Pelodiscus sinensis: one gene and its partner. The protein of the gene in region 1 interacts with the protein of each later gene in a pairwise test. Links are inferred from orthologs where the notes say so. Each region holds a gene or a part of one and is shown on either strand. Other genes may lie near its edges. The genes, in order: KCNA3 and CAV1.

Region 1 (8,339 bases):
ACGGGCCCCTATGGGTATAAAGATGGGTCCAGCAGCACACTTACTCTGAGTGTCAATCTACTATCTATCTGCTTGTCGGGTTAGGTGTTTGACCTCCCGAGGTTCCATGGGGATGCCCACCTTGTATTCGTCTTTCCTAGGAATTGAGGGACCGGCCCTGGCTTGACCCGCTGGAGTTGAGAGGCACAGAAGGGGGTAAAAATTGTACCTGGATTTGGTCCTTTGTCTTAAGTGTACACGTAGACTTAGAGCTCTTTAAAGATTAAGCTGTCACTTGGTACCATTATTTCTATTTTCTATTTTTATTTTCTTTGTAACCATTTTAAGATCTATATTTGCTAGCAGTTAAGAAGTGGAGCAATAGCCATTGTAACCATATGATTTATAAGCTTCTTTAATAAACCTGTAACTGGTTAAGTTTTAACCTGACTCCTTCAGTTGCTGTAACAGAACCAAGCACAATTTAAAAGAACTTCAGCCGGTCATAAGGGACAGGTATAGGGGGAACTTGAGTGTTGGGTCGTGTTGCTTCCAGAGGACAGATCCATTGGGGCATCTCTCAGCCTCCCTGGCTGCCCACTGTGAAGGGATCCTGTATCCTAGCAATTGAAATCTGAGATGTAATAAGCTCTTCCTATAAACTCTGGGGCGTCTGTCAGCCTGCTGGCTGCCCTCCGCGATGGGACCCCAGTCGTAGCGGTAAAGACACGGACGTTAAACTCTGCGGCGTCTGTCAGCCTGTTGGCTGCCCTCCGCAACGGGACCCCGGTCCTAGCGGTAAAGACACAGACGTTAAACTTCTTGGGGTGCCCCTCAGCCTCCTAGGCTGCCTGCTGTGACGGGACCTTGTGTCTCAGCAGTTAAAGACTTGGGTGTGACACACACACACACACACACACACTGCCCTGACCATCGGCTGACACTTATGTCCAAAGGCAGCAATACCAAAAAGCTGGTTGAACTATACAGTGAGACTGAAAGCCTCAGCTAGAAGTGATATTGTTGGTGGCCAGGACGAGCCCAAGATCCTTGAAGAGGAAATTAGTCAACGGGGATGCAATGGCACTCACTGAAAAGTGGCACTAATCACTTCATCCATGCAAGGAATCTGTTAAGCGTTAGCAGAGCCTACACATTTATAGCATGATGGAGAAGCAAACGCACCAGCACTTAGCTGCTGTTGCTGAGTATTCTAGGTGGTAAGAAGTGGCACACGACAAACGCTTCTGCTGATCAATTGGTCATGGCATGGCGGTGCACGTTTGCTGCCTATGGATCCTTCGGAAAACACTCTGCCATTTGCTTTGAAGACATCTCAAATTTAGCTGAAGAGGAATTTGGAAAAACCAGCATCAAATGGCTCTGTGCCCATGGGAAAGGAGGAGATTTTCAAAAGCACACATGGAAGGTATGTGCTCACCTCTCATTGGCATTCAGGGGGGGAGTTGGGGGCCAATCCATGCTTTGTCCCTTTGAAAATCTCCCCTTAAAGGGCCCTTGAAGAGAAAAATGAGGGTAGAAGTTTGTTACATTGTATCACAAGCTTTCTTTTCTTGTACAAGGTCGCACTGAAGGCCACCAGCAAAGGGTGGGTCAGTAAAGTTCTTGCCTCACTCACAGAGCAAAATTAAGGTTGTCCCGCTCCAGGGGCAGAAATTCTGCTTAGCATGAAGTTCCTATTTGAGGAAAAGGTCCCATTGTACATTTCTGTTTGCCTTGCTGAGAGGAGGCTTGGAGTAAGTCACTGTAGCTCAACTAATGTTTGATGACCTCATCCTGATTCACACCAGCTGAGAGCAGTCCAGGGTGGCAGGCAAACATCCCCATAAATACCTCACATTTTGCAATATTTCTTTCCCCCTGTAATTTTAACACATTTATATGTTTTCCTTGACAGATTCGGGTAACCCCCCTCATGCTACTTATAATACCCCTCTATCAACTGGAGAATCAACTTCACACCCCTAAAATAATGCACTTTTCTTCAGCTACAGCTGGAGTTCTCTATACAAAGTAGTTGCATGAGTTTCCCCTGGAGGTGCATTATTCTCCCGACTGAAAAATTCCATAGCAAATAATTGCCTTTGTAACCCAGAGACTCTGAGACCACAGAGAAGGTGTACAAAGTCAGCTGGCAGTCAGCTCATGTGGTAGTGGTGCAGGGCCTAAGGTTCCCTGGTCAATCCCACCTACTGACAACAGAGGTCTGTGACTTTACGCATTTATATAAGTTTTGCCTTCTCCTCTTGAGCCTTTCCTCATCCGTCAAAGCTGTGCATGGGCTACCACGTTCTTATTTGTGTCCTAGAGGCCAGACAACACTGATTTATTGGCCACATTTCCAGCAGGGGGGAAGAGATAAATCACACACAATCTTCATGTGCTGCACCTAAATACGTCTCACAGGGGTGGCCATGAGTCTGTATCTGCAAAAACGAGGCAGAGCCCTCGAGTGTAACATGACACAGTTAGAACCAGAAATGCAAAGCACAGAAAAATAGATCCCCTGACTCGGAAGTGATTGGGAATTTCCTTGGCTTCCTGTCCTTTGTGGGCAGACCGGTAAAAGGGGATTCTGACAGTCCTAGATTTACATTGCATGCCCCTAATATTGCACATTCCCTGGCGACTGGCAGCAGAGAACATGATTGTGCCTGTGAAGGGGAAGGACAGGCACTATCGCTAATTGTTAACATTGGTACAAATTACAGGAGCATGCAGTCAGGCTGAGGACCGGTTGTTCTGACATTGTACAAGTGGATGGTAAGGAACAGCCACTCCCTCAAGTTAGTGCAGTGCAATTGCCTGAAGTGCACTTGTCACCTTGGTGCATTTCTTGAATTGCAGAGGTACTGACACCCTTGGGCAAGGTGTGTGTGGGGGGGGGGGTGGCTAAGTGCTCTTGGAGTTTTGGTCATATGGGGTGGAGCCTAAGGCAGAAGGGGTGGGGCTGGGGACAGCCAGCTCTGAGCACTGCCCGGAGTGCACCATGCTGGCCCACAGGCAGCGCTCAGCACCACCCAGAGTGTGGCACCCCCAGCCCTTAGCGCTGCCCGGAACACTCAGTGCCGTGCTCCAGCAGCGACTGAAAGGACTCAGGGTTCCAGCTGCCACTTCTGCTGGCCTACGCCCCTTTGAATCACTGGGCCCCAGGGACTGTCCCCTTTGTCCCTTCTCCTCTGCAGGCCTGTGAGACGCATATCACAGACATGCTCACCACGTTGGGTATGCTCCTTAACACGTGGCTCAGTCTCTGCATGGCTGTAGCTGTCCAGATAAGATGTCTTCAAGGGCAGATATTCTCTGAGGTGAGCACCCTGAAGTACAAGGCACATGTGCTGAAGAGCATCAGACTGGCTGCCTATTAGGTGCCAAGGACACACGCAGGATATTTGCCTGCAAGAAAAGGCTGTTTGGGAGGAGGCTTTGCTTGGCCTGGGTGTGAAGTCCTAGGCTCCTCCAGTGAATGAGCAGAGTGTTTTGCACTGGCCAATCTGGCTCTGGGTTAGAATGATGCCACAAGAGGATCTGGAGCTTTTCCATTTTTGAGGCAGAGTGTGGTGAAGGGAAAGCTAGCTTGAGCTCCGTTAGACGCATGGGTATTCTGTGTGATATTTTCATGTGGTGTGCCTGTTGATAAATCCACCCTGCCTCTTTTTGTAATTTTGTTTGTAGCTTTCCATGTATTCTTGGCTCCTTTTATACGTTCGTGTATTTTCTACAGCTCTATTTATTTATAAATAAATTTGATCTTTTTATAGGTTTCCCCCTTCTGGAGGCTGTTTTGTTTAAAAATAACCATAGCAATAAATCAAAGTGGGGAGTAGAATCTAGAAAACTGGTGCTCTACATTTCCCATCTTGCTATCCCTTTCCCTCCGGAAAACACTGCTGTTTAGCCAGGATCTGGACTGGACTCCTCTCCAATTTAGCAATCTGAGCAGGCCAGGAATTAGTAGAATCATGTACATAGAATTCTACCCTGCATTTCAAGACGCGTCCTGGAGAAAAAACTTAGCTCAGGAAATAGAACAAGAGGTCACTTATTGAAAAAATCCACCACATTGTGTTGCGATACCCACTAGTTTAGTGTTTTAATTATCACTGGGTGTGCAGCCCAAAACGGGCAAGTTTATTGTTGTAGCTACCTAGCAAATATTGCCTCGGTGAGCATCTTAGTTGAAATGGCCAAGTGGGTGGAGGAGGTAACTATTAAAGCTGGTCAACATGTTTTGTGCAGAGTGTTTTCCCCACATAAACACCATGTTTCATCAAAACTGAAAAATTTTCACAGGAAAAAGTTCATTTTGATGAAAGATCTTGGTTTTTTCCGCAGGAAACAGTGAAACAAACATTTTCCGTTTGAATAAACAGTTCTAGATGCCATGAAACCTGTTTGGTTTTGTTCTGACGTAAAATGTTATTTCCTTTAGTTTTCTTCCAATTCAAATAAAAACAACAAAATCACAACTTCATCCAAATGCTGACACAAAACCTTTTGTTTGTGTTTCTTGTTCCCTTAAAATGTATTTTGTTTCAAGATGTGGATTTGAAATGACATTTGTATATGTCCCAAGGGGGGGTGTGAATTCTGCCTCACAATTCGTGGCAGGGAGAATGCGGGTTTTCTGACCCAAGCACGGTGGACTATTATCCTGGAGCCTGGGCACTGCCAGCCTGGGCGTGTTCCTCCTCCTGGCACGGGGGCATCTCTCTGAGCTCCACCTGGCCTGGGCGGGACGGGTTGGTGCCTTCCCGGTGCCCTGGCTGGCCATGTCTCAGCTTCAGCACCTCAGTGGAGAGGGACTCCCCGAGCCCTGCCTGGGGCGAGCCGATCTGCCCCCCCCCCGGGATGCCCATTATGCTTCCTAGCCTGGGGTGGGCACCTCCCGCTGGGAGGCATCTGGGCTGCAGCCCGCTTGGCTCCATCGCCTCGGGCTCCTTCTGGGGTAGCCGGGGCTCCCTGCAGAGCCCCCGGGCTCCCCGCCCGCCCCGCCCCACGCCCGGGCTGGGCGGTCCGGGGGCGGCCCCGGCGCGCTGAGTGGCGCTGGGCGGCGCTGGGCGGGGGGCGGACTTTTTGAGCCGAGCGGCGGCGGCTGGCGGCGGGCGGGTCTCTCCTCTCGGCCGCGCCGCTGCCCTGCATGGACGAGCACCGGAGCTTGCTGCGCTCGCCGGCCGCCTCCTCCTGCAGCCGGCACCCGCGGGGCGGCGGCGGCAGCAGCCACCACAACCCGGGCTACACCGAGCCGCCCTCCGCCGCCCCCCAGCCCGGGCGGGAGCAGGAGGAGGAGGAGGGCGGCATGACCGTGGTGGTGGGCGGGGGGGGCCCCCTGCTGGAGGAGCCCCAGCACCCCCACCCGTTGCTGGGGGGGGAGCGCTACGACCACCCCCCGGCCCACGTCCCGCTGCCCCCCGGCCACGCCCCAGGCGGGGAGCACGAGTGCTGCGAGCGGGTGGTCATCAACATCTCCGGCCTGCGCTTCGAGACGCAGCTCAAGACCCTGGCTCAGTTCCCCGAGACCTTGCTGGGTGACCCCCGCAAGAGGATGCGCTACTTCGACCCCCTGCGCAACGAGTACTTCTTCGACCGCAACCGGCCCAGCTTCGACGCCATCCTCTACTACTACCAGTCCGGAGGCCGCATCCGGCGCCCCGTCAACGTGCCCATCGACATCTTCTCCGAGGAGATCCGCTTCTACCAGCTGGGTGAGGAGGCCATGGAGAAGTTCCGGGAGGACGAGGGCTTCATCCGCGAGGAGCAGCGGCCTCTGCCCGACAAGGAGTTCCAGCGCCAGGTGTGGCTCCTCTTCGAATACCCGGAGAGCTCTGGGCCAGCCAGAGGCATCGCCATTGTCTCGGTCCTCGTCATCCTCATCTCAATCGTCATCTTCTGCCTGGAGACCTTGCCAGAGTTCAGGGACGACCGTGACTATGAGGCGACCGGGGGGACCTTTGGCACAAGCAGCGGCCCCTTGGCCACGGAGGTCTTTACCAATTCCTCCTCCTCGGCCGTCTCCATGGTCTCGTCCTTCACCGACCCCTTCTTTGTCGTGGAGACGTTGTGCATCATCTGGTTCTCCTTCGAGCTGCTCGTTCGCTTCTTTGCCTGCCCCAGCAAGGCCACCTTCTCCAAGAACATCATGAACATCATCGACATTGTGGCCATCATTCCCTACTTCATCACCTTGGGCACAGAACTGGCCGAGAGGCAGGGGAATGGCCAGCAAGCCATGTCCCTGGCCATCCTCAGGGTCATTCGGCTGGTGAGGGTCTTCCGTATCTTCAAGCTTTCACGACACTCCAAAGGGCTGCAGATCCTGGGGCAGACCCTCAAGGCCAGCATGAGGGAGTTGGGTTTGCTCATTTTCTTCCTCTTCATTGGAGTCATCCTCTTCTCCAGCGCTGTCTACTTTGCAGAGGCTGATGACCCCAGCTCAGGCTTCAGCAGCATCCCTGATGCCTTCTGGTGGGCGGTGGTGACCATGACCACAGTGGGCTATGGGGACATGCACCCAATCACCATTGGGGGCAAAATTGTGGGGTCTCTCTGTGCCATTGCTGGGGTTCTGACCATTGCCCTTCCCGTGCCTGTGATAGTCTCCAACTTCAATTATTTCTACCACCGGGAGACTGAAGGTGAGGAGCAAGCCCAATATCTACATGTCGGGAGCTGCCAGCACCTCTCCTCTACGGAGGAGCTGAGGAAGGCACGTAGCAATTCCACCCTGAGCAAGTCGGAGTACATGGTGATAGAGGAGGGGGGAATCAACAACACTGCATTCAAACAGGCTGCCTTTAAGACGGGAAACTGCACAACCACAAACAATCCCAACTGTGTGAACATCAAAAAGATCTTCACTGATGTTTAAAAAGAGGAAATGTTTAAAAAATAATAATGCAAAGTGACCATGTAATCGGTATTGTCTGGAACATGCATCTTCATTGGTCTGCGTGTGCCCTTGTTTTACACATATATTTTTTAGATCATTCCTATTAAAGAACAAAGAAGAGGATTACAAAATAATCAGAAGAAAAGAGGATGAGGGTGGTTATGGAAGGGAAGATGAAAGGACAACAACAGAAGAACACGCTCCCCGTTGAAACAGGTGTTTATTCTGAAACATGTTGCAGGGCTGCTTTGGAGCTTGGGGGTTTTTTTTGGTTTGGTTTGTTCTCGTTTTTGCAAAGAGTCACTGTGCAGCCGATTTCCCTTTCGATCACACACTCACGCATTTGTTGGACAGAAAACCGTGAGTCAGAAGAGAAAAATAAAATTATATGGCAGAGCCTTTTTGCAGGCAAGGGGGAGAAAACCATTTAATTTTACTGATGGCCATGTTGTTAAATTATGCTAAATATTGAACATGTGGTGCATGTCCTTCATGGGCACAGCCTTGATTTCTTTTCTTCCCTAGCCAGATCGTTTATGAAATTTTAATCTGTTCAGAGACCCAAGTGCAATCAGTTGTGATTTAATCAGAAAAATTGCCCATATTCTCTGTGCCTAATTTCCTTTTCCCACCTATGGAATTGTTTCATCCCACCTGAAATTCCTGGCTGCATGGTGTTTGTGGGGAAATATCCTTCCCACATTAGCAACTGACTAACCGAAGAGCATCCTAAGAGTTTGAACATCCTGTGAGGCCAATGCAGATGGGGGAAACTTAGGCTCCCATTAAATCAGTATTGGGCTTTTAGAAGTTACTGTGCAGCCTCAAACAAAACTCGAGCCTAGTATCAAAGTGTGTGTGGGGGTATTTCTGTCCATTTCCAATGTATCTGAGATAAGTGTCTGCATCTATCACAAGAGGATTAAGTGGCAAACGCCTTCCAGCGGAAGTTACTAATTCGGACCTGAGTGATGCAGTTTCCATAGCAACACTGGTTTCCTGGGAAACCCCAAAAGGTTGTCATGGTATCCCTTCGCCCCATCCCCCTTCAGCCTGTGCTGTTTCCACAGTAACCCTTCCAGATGGTTCCAAGTTCTGCGATTCCACGGAAAAGCCGCTGCTCTGGTAAACCACACACACATGCAGAGAGTTAATCCCAGAGAGAGCTAGGTGTAGACACTAATTACCCTCCATGCACACTGCTTTAGATTTGAAACATTCCTGCAGTCCTGGTACCTACCGAAGCAAAATGATCATCCTAGGAATAGGTAGGATGCTGCTGCACATGTTCAGAATAAAACACCTGTTCCTAGGCCATAAAGACAACAGACCTCCAAATTACCCTCGCTATCAAGTTAATATCTCATTGGTGAAATTAATTCTCTATATGCAAAGCTCTACATCTGCTCAGAAGTTCTAGAAAGGTGAACTCACCCGTTACTTAAACATA
Region 2 (8,331 bases), on another chromosome or scaffold:
ACAGTAAGTCTAACATCAGTACCGGGCAAATTAGTTGAAACAATAGTAAAGAATAAAATTGTCAGACACATAGAAGAACATTATTTGTTGGGCAAAAGTCAACATGGTTTCTGTAAAGGGAAATCATCTCTTACTAATTAATCTATTAGAGTTCTTTGAAGGAGTCAACAAACATGTGGACAAGGGAGTTCCAGTAGATATAGTGTACTTAGATTTCCAGAAAGCCTTTGACAAGGTCCCTCTTGGGCTCTTACGTAAATTAAGTTGTCATGGGATAACAGGGAAGAACCTTTCATGGACTGAGAACTGGTTAAAAGACAGGAAACAAAGGGTAGGAATAAATGGTAAATTTTCAGAATGGAGAGGGGTAACTAGTGGTGTTCCCCAAGGGTCAGTCCTAGGACCAATCCTATTCAACTTATTCATAAATGAGCTGGAGAAATGGGTAAACAGTGAGGTGTCAAAGTTTGCAAACGATCCTAAACTGCTCAAGGTAGATAAGACCAAAGCAGACTGTGAAGAACTTCAAAAAGATCTCACCAAACTAAGTGACTGGGCAACAAAAGGGCAAATGAAATTTAATGTGGATAAATGTAAAGTAATGCATTGAAAAAAATAACCCCACCTATATATATAATATTATGGGGGCTAACTTAGCTACAACTAATCAGGAAAGAGATCTTGGTGTCATTGTGGATGGTTTTCTGAAGACGTCCATACAGTGTGCAACAACAGTCAAAAAAGCAAACAGGATGTTAGGATTCATTTAAAAAGGGATAGAGAATAAGATGGAGAATGTCTTATTGCCCTTATATAAATCCATGGTACACCCACATCTTGAATACTACGTACAGATGTGGTCTCCTCATCTCAAAAAAGATATACTGGCATTAGAAAAGGTTCAGAGAAGGGCAACTAAAATGATTAGGGGTTTGGAACGGGTCCCATATGAGGAGAGATTAAAGAGACTGGGACTTTTCAGCTCGGAAAAGAGGAGACTAAGGGGGATATGATAGAGGTATATAAAGTCATGAGTGGTATAGAGAAAGTGAATAAGGAAAAGTTATTTACTTGTTCCCATAATATAAGAACTAAGGGCCACCAAATGAAACTAATAGGCATCAGGTTTAAAAAAAATAAAAGGAAGTTCTGCTTCACACAGCGCATAGTCAATCTGTGGAACTCCTTGCCTGAGGAGGTTGTGAAGGCGAGGACTATAATAGGGTTTAAAAGAGAACTAGATAAATTCATAGAGGTTGAGTCCATTAATGGCTATTAGCCAGTATGGATAAGGAATGGTGTCCCTAGCCTCTGTTTGTCAGAGGATGGAGATGGATGGCAGGAGAGAGATGGCTTGATCATTACATGTTCGATTCACTCCCTCTGGGACACCTGGCATTGGCAACTGTCAGCAGACAGGATACTGGGCTGGATGGACATTTGGTCTGACCCACTATGGTCATTCTTATGTTCTTATAAATGCTGACCAACTCTCCATGATTGTTTACAAGCTTTTCAATTAGAGTTTACATGTTGCATCTTGCATAACTCATATCTGAGTTATGCATATTCATATTCAAAAGCACATTTCCATAAAACTAAGGGGGCACAGAGTCACCATAAGCTCTTGCTCCAGCAAAAGTTGTGTCCTTGATGCAGGAATTACTGGGTGAAATTCTATGACCTCTTAGACCAGTGGTCACCAACCAGTAGATCAGGATCTACTGGTAGATCTTGGAGCCTTTGACAGTGATCCTGAGAGGTTTGGCCAGAAGACTATCAAGTGCTGGCACTTCGGCTGCCCCTCTCAGCACTGCCATGCTGCTCCTGCCCTCTGCCTTGGAGCTGCTCCCCGTACTCCTCCGTGGGAGCCTCCTGCTTGCTGTGCAGGGCATGGGAAGAAGAGGAAGGGAGGGTACTCAGGGTGCCCCTCCCTCCGCCCTGTACCCCACCTCCACAGACCAGCGGGGGGACGGGATGGAGGAAGTTTGCTAGCTGCTTTTGGGAGTGGTGCAGGGCTAGAACAGAGGTGAGTCCCCCTGCACCATCATGCAGAAGCCACCTGTGGTAAGCAGCGCCCAGCTAGAGTCTGCATTCTGAACCCCAGCCCCAGTCCTGAACCCCTCCAGCACCCCAAATTCCTGCCTCCAGCTTGATAAAAGTGAGTGAGGATAGGAGAGGGAGGATGGAGTGAGCAGGGGCAGGACCTCAGAAGGGGGGCGGGAAGGAGGAGGGGCAAGGGTATTTGGGTTTGAGGTAGATCCTGGATTGCAATTAAATTCAAAAAGTGATCTCATGCTTAAAAAGTTTGGAGACCACTGACTTAGACAATCATGGCTCCTTCAAGCCTTAACATCTGTGCATCAAGGAATGAGACTATATTTTAAACAAGTTCCCATGTTTCATGCCACATAATTGTTGGGGCCCAGTATCAGAAAGACAAATCACATAGGGAGGATATCAGTGGCCAAGGCTCTGATCCAATAATACACTTATGCATGTGCATAACTTTAAGCTCATGAAGAGTCTCACTGAAAATATTAGAAGATGGGATTCACAAAGGTATTTAAGCCAGAGGGGAGTTAGGCACCTAGATGCCTTTGTGAATCCAACCTAAATTACTTAAGTGAACTGCTCATTAATTCTTTTCAGTGTGTTGTTTTTAGTACTGCACACACTGAGGGTTGCTTACTGACAGACACTGTTTTTGAAATTAAAAAGAAACTGGCTGGCTCCTGTAGAAAATACATTTAAAAGAAATACATTGCCAGGGATGATTCTGATCTCAATCACACCAGAATATATTAGGAATAGTGCAGATGATGTCATTGGAAATACACAGGTGTAAAATAGGTGTAAAATGAAATCACAAACAGATTCCCCATGGACAGTTATACACTGTTACCTCTCAGTCTCATGTATTGCTGCTTGGAGACTATTTTACAACTCTGATACCTATTTGGTGTACTAGGAAATCATGTTGGGTGTTACTCTAGAAGCATATAACACAAGTGCAGAAAAACCTTCCACTTCAAAAAATGAGAATTATTGTCAGAATATTTTGTTGAATGCTACATGTAACTTTCAAACTTTAGGAAGGTTTCAATAATGTTTTCATATCTTCAGATAGAACTTTGTTGAAAAACTATCACAGCTGATGAACAGTGTAACTCCTGGTTACTATTCCTGGGCTCAGTCATGTTGCATTTCAATCTTCATTTGTGTTGGCTCATTTGTTTGTTTGACTCTTATGAAGGTAATGGTGTCATGGGAGATGGACACATTCCTATGACCCTACAGATCTGCCTCACACTCAGAAGTTGTTAGTATCAGTGCAATTTTCTCTTTATGATTTATTATCTTTTGACATTTTACTTTAAGCAGTAACTTGCATTCTTACCAGATCCCATAGTTCTTTTCAACCCCCAAGTTCCTTGATCTGGAATTCATCTTACAATGTGTATTAACCCTGCCAACTTTGAAAATTCTTTGAACTGCAGTGGTGCTGCTGTCCTAAATGACTTTGAAGCTTCTTAGAAACAGGTTTGTTCTGCACAATTTAAAAATTTTGAATCCACATAGACTTTGGAGTTAAATATATCTCTAATTTTGTCATCCTTAAGGCAGCAACAATGCTGAATAATGATTCTAGTTCTTCTCATGCAGGTGTGTGAAACTGACTAATTTAAATATCTCTAACTTGTAAAACAATATTGTGTTTTTCCTCAAACCCAGATTTTTAAAAGCTTAGGCCAAGTTTCTAGCTTCAGCCATTTTTAATTTATGCAAGCTCAATCTGTCTCATTGAAACACTTGTAAAGTGAAGTTTTGTATGCTAATTTAAGTCACTGACAGAATCAGTTTTGCTATTCTAAAAAAAGTTTATATTTGAAATGAGAATCAAGGTGAAACATAGCAATTATCAGTCCTTAAAGGATTTGCTTGATAAAGTTAAGAACACATGAAAAAAAGAGGAGGTGAAAGGAGGGATAATGCACGTCATTTAGGAACATCACTGTCTGAATCCTCTTTTCATATTTGTAGGTGATGAATTTAAAGGGCTATTTTACATCATGAAACCAAACTTTCCAGGTTCAAAGTTTACAGCTAGTTCTCCCAGTGCAATACCCTGCTCAAGGTAAAGTCAGAATAACTCTGAAAAGGTACACTTCTAAAAGGAAACAACTGAATGTTCCAACACGGTGAAATCTTGTATAGTAAAACAATGAATTAATTCCTATCACTAGTGCAGTAACTTTGTAACCCTAATCAAAATCAGTTAAGAGACAGAGTGCAAAACATTGTTATCTATTAACAATAAACCTGAATCCTTGAGTTATCATGGAATTTAGAGATTATGAAGAACCCCCATAGTGAAAACAATGCTGACTTTACTTCAATGCCTCTTATTTTAAAATCCTGGAAGATAATATGCATATGACAAACATGCTACAATATGCTGGCATTATTCATTTTCCACCCAGAAAAAAATACAGTAAATGCTAGTGGGAACTGTTAAATATTTGCATAGCTGTGAAATGAATCACTCGGGACAGTCTCTCTCTTGCAATCCAAAAAGAGCTCAATTTTCCACAATTGTTCTTATATGTAAACTATTGTCAAAGAAAAATACAAACGCCTTGCTTTGGTTTAGATGTGAAAAACAGATACTCTCATTACTTTCCGCTCTAAAACATCAACGCAACCGATTTAACATACGCGATGGGATGATGTGAAATAAGATTTATGAAGGAAATCGGAGGCTTCTGACTTAGACCAGAGACAGCTCCGAAGAGCTTGTAATCTTAGGGCTAAAATGAGGCGCTTCTCCTCCAACGCCCTCGCAACATGCCGACGTGCTGCAAAGTGATTTTCCTTTCCGAAGCAAGCAGCAGCCTCGCTTGGATCGCTGTATGAATGGTTGGCAAAGCAACCTCGCCCCATGTTTCAAAATTTGCACAGGCAGAATAAGGTCGGGAAAGTCCAGTTTCAGGATTCTCCCCTCCCTCCTCTTTATACCCCCTGCTGCTCGGAGGGCTTTGGGCATGTGCCTAGACCCACCATTGCTGTCATCGCAGCCAAAAGCAAACAGAACAAACTCTGGCCGGCGGCCAGCTGTCTCACTTATAGCTACCACCCCTCGCTTGCTTTCTACAATACAGGATCTTCCTTTCTGAGCTCGCCTAAATTAAATCGCAGGGAAACCTCAGTCCGACTCTCCGCCAAGTCCAAGACAGCATGTCTGGTAGCCAATACGTAGACCCAGAGGTAGGCTTTGCCTAGGATGGGATCCTTTTAAAAGTCAGTTTCAGTTCAGATACTTCTTGTGCCTGCTTCTTCCTGGCTACGAGTACCTGCTTCAAGCTAGCGCTGGCTTCTCCGGGCATTCTTGGCGCTTTTCTGCACTGATTTTGCTCTTGACCGTGACCCCTTCCCGCAGAGGAGCGAGGCGGTGCTGGGGAAGCTAGCTTAGAGATAAGCAGGGCGATCGGGGTTGGGGGGGGAGGGTTGGTTTGTTTGGGGTTTTTTTTCCCTTGTTTTTGGTCCATGTTGCTGACTCTCCAGGGAAACCCGATCTGTCGGCACCTCTCCCCATCCAGAGCCGCTCGCCTTCCCTGAGTCCGGTGTGTAGGGACCCGCGGCAGGGCGAAAGGGGCAGGTGAAGCGCTGACAGCTCCTTGCGCGGGTTGTTATTGAGGCTGCGGGTTGTTTTCCGGCCAGCCCGAGTGCCATGTTGCACGAAAAGCGAAAGTCCCCCAGCCGCTCCCTCTCCCCCCCCCCCCCAGGGGGCTGTTCGGCCCGCGGCAGCCTCTGGGGCAGGGGGCCCGCTCTGCCCCCGGCAGCGAGTCCCCTGGGAAGGCAACAGCCTCTCCCCTCCCCCCGCCGGACCTGAGTGCCGGGGTGCGGTGCGAGGGACGGCGGCGGGCTCGCCCCGGGGGCTGAGCTGAGGTCAGAGCTGCAGAGGGGGCCGAGTGAGGGACGCTGCGAGGAGATGGGGGGCTGGGCCCAGGGCTCGGCCTGGGGGGGGGGGGTGCAGAGCCGCGACCCCGGGGGCAGGGCCCGAGACAAACGCCGCGGGCTGAGACCTGGCGCGGGGATGGGCCAGGGGCGCTGGAGAGGGGCCGGGGCCGGGCACATGCCCGAGGGGCGCGGCGGCGCTGCCCGGCCGGGGACCCCTGGCGGCGGGAGCGGGAGTCGCTGCTCTGCCTGGTACCGCGCGCCGCAGGGAGGGAGGGCGGGGCGGGTGTGGCGAGGGCTGCTGCTTTTATCCCGTTAAAAAGCAGCCGCGGGGCAGGCTCGGCGCTGACGGGTTCCGGGCTCCGCGCGCGCCGCTGGATGAGCGAGTAGCCCCTGCCCCGCCAGCGCCCAGCCCCGGGGAGCCTCACCTCTGCCCCGCTCCGTCCCCAGGGGCTGCTGTACAGCGCGCCCGCCCGGCAGCAAGGCAACATCTACAAGCCCCACAACAAGAGCATGGCCGAGGAGCTGAACGAGAAGACGATGCACGACGTGCACACCAAGGAGATCGACCTGGTCAACCGGGACCCCAAGCGCCTCAACGACGACGTGGTCAAGGTAAGGGGCTAAGGCCAGGAAACGCGAGGAGCAGGGGGCTGGAGCTATGGGGGGGGAGACGGGACTTTTTTGCCACAGCCGCTCCCAGGGGCGCGGAGTTTGCAGAGAAGCCACGGAGGGCGTGGAGCGCATTGGCGGCAGCTCATTGCTTCCCCGCCGCGCTGTCCGGGCAAACTTCGGAGCCAGCGGGGGTGGGTGGGTCACGCTCTTCTAGCCAGTTCTACAGGAGCTCTGTGGTCTGGGCCCCTTAGGCAGCTTGCGAGTCGCGGGAGCGCAACGCCAGCGGGGGGGGGACCTGCCCCCCGGCTCTGCGCGCCCCATAAGGCGGGAACCTGCCGCAGGGGTGTTGATTCCGCACCCTTCTCAGAGCCGCTGCCAACTCTCTATCGAGTCTACACGGGAACCAGGTAGCTGCTGGAGCTTTTGCACTTTCCAAGCCAATACCACACAGGGCAGCTACTCCGCGGGAAGGGGCTGCCCCAGCAGGGAACCCGCGGGCTGTGTGTGTGCACTGACAGATGTACCCAGCGTGTCCTTGTGTTGGAGTCAAGCTGGCTGCAGATAGTGGTTCATAGTGGGGTGGGGTGAGACATTGAGTGAACATTACCATATTTAACACAGGAAGGGAAATTTTACTGGCCAGCAATGATTCCTGTAAGTACCCTATTAAGGAATAGAAAAAAAATAAAAAAATCAAATTGCATTGTTAAGAATGTTGACCAGGATTTTGCTAAGTGATTTTCCTGTGGAACAGCTTTTGCCTGCTCCAGCTGCATACAGCTCACTTTTGTTAAAGCCAATTGCATGCAAAACCATAGGGCCTGGTTATTTTTTCTCCTGTACTGAAATAATGAAAACAGGCAATACAAAAAAAAAAAAGAAATAACTGTGGCTGGATTTTTAATTCTAGTTGTGATCATTTCAGCAAATCTCAGTTAACTGTCAATGTTGCCAAGGCCAAGGGTCAGAAAAACCCTAGTGTTGATCCTTCTTTAGCAGAGGGTGTATACTGCACATGTGAAGGCCAATGACAGTGTTGTTCAAGTTAGAATATGGGGGGGGGGGGGGGGAGAAACACTCACTTATTTCAAATCCAGCAGTAGAATGGTGCAATTTTAATCCATCCTGCCACTAGGCTGGGAGGTAAAGCCTGCCTTTTTAGATTAAAGAAAACATTTCATTCTTTCTGTATCAGAACAATTTCACTTTTGTTGATTTCACCAACTCGCCTTGAAAATTTAGACCTCTAGAGCATAATCCTAAAGGGTACGGAGCATTCTTAAATCTCATTGGCTGCAATAAGATTTCAAGCAGGGGCTGCCCACCTGGTTGGATCAAGTCCTAAAAGTTTTTGCAGGCAGACAGTATGCATATGGTACTATTTTCACTATGTTGGCTTTACAATCTAGAAACAAAAGTTAAATTCTGTACATATGGAAAAATGGTTGACAAAACACAGAATAGTACAAATCTAAATTTACAAACCACCGACTTGTTTATCAACTGATTTTTTTGGTTTTCCCTTTGGCTGTGAAAGAAAAGGTGTAGCAGGAGAGCTATACAGGCGTTCAGAGAGCAGCATGGTAGTTCTCGCCTGAGTGCTGCAGCAGTAGTAGTTAAAAGTCCCCAATGCAACTGAACCTTCTGAGTATGAGTCATAGCCCCCAGGCAGACTGTCATCTGGGAATCCACTGAACAGAAAAAGAAAGATCCCATTGGGAAGAGAAACACAGGGAAAAAAAACATACTTGTCTTAAA

The links.
Region 2: the proteins of KCNA3 (region 1) and CAV1 come close enough for resonance energy transfer, tested with the Homo sapiens proteins (2 studies listed by BioGRID). The link is inferred for Pelodiscus sinensis from reciprocal best matches to the Homo sapiens genes KCNA3 and CAV1.

The regions. Positions count from the first base shown.
Region 1 is NC_134737.1:17,440,999-17,449,337, forward strand, and holds the start of KCNA3 (potassium voltage-gated channel subfamily A member 3), read left to right. Parts: upstream 1-5,079; 5' UTR 5,080-5,140; coding exon 5,141-6,868; 3' UTR 6,869-8,339.
Region 2 is NC_134711.1:45,953,029-45,961,359, reverse strand, and holds the start of CAV1 (caveolin-1), read left to right. Parts: upstream 1-5,110; 5' UTR 5,111-5,238; coding exon 5,239-5,268; intron 5,269-5,520; exon of another isoform or gene 5,521-5,659; intron 5,660-5,926; exon of another isoform or gene 5,927-5,949; intron 5,950-6,408; coding exon 6,409-6,573; intron 6,574-8,331. UniProt on the Homo sapiens protein: May act as a scaffolding protein within caveolar membranes. Forms a stable heterooligomeric complex with CAV2 that targets to lipid rafts and drives caveolae formation. Mediates the recruitment of CAVIN proteins (CAVIN1/2/3/4) to the caveolae.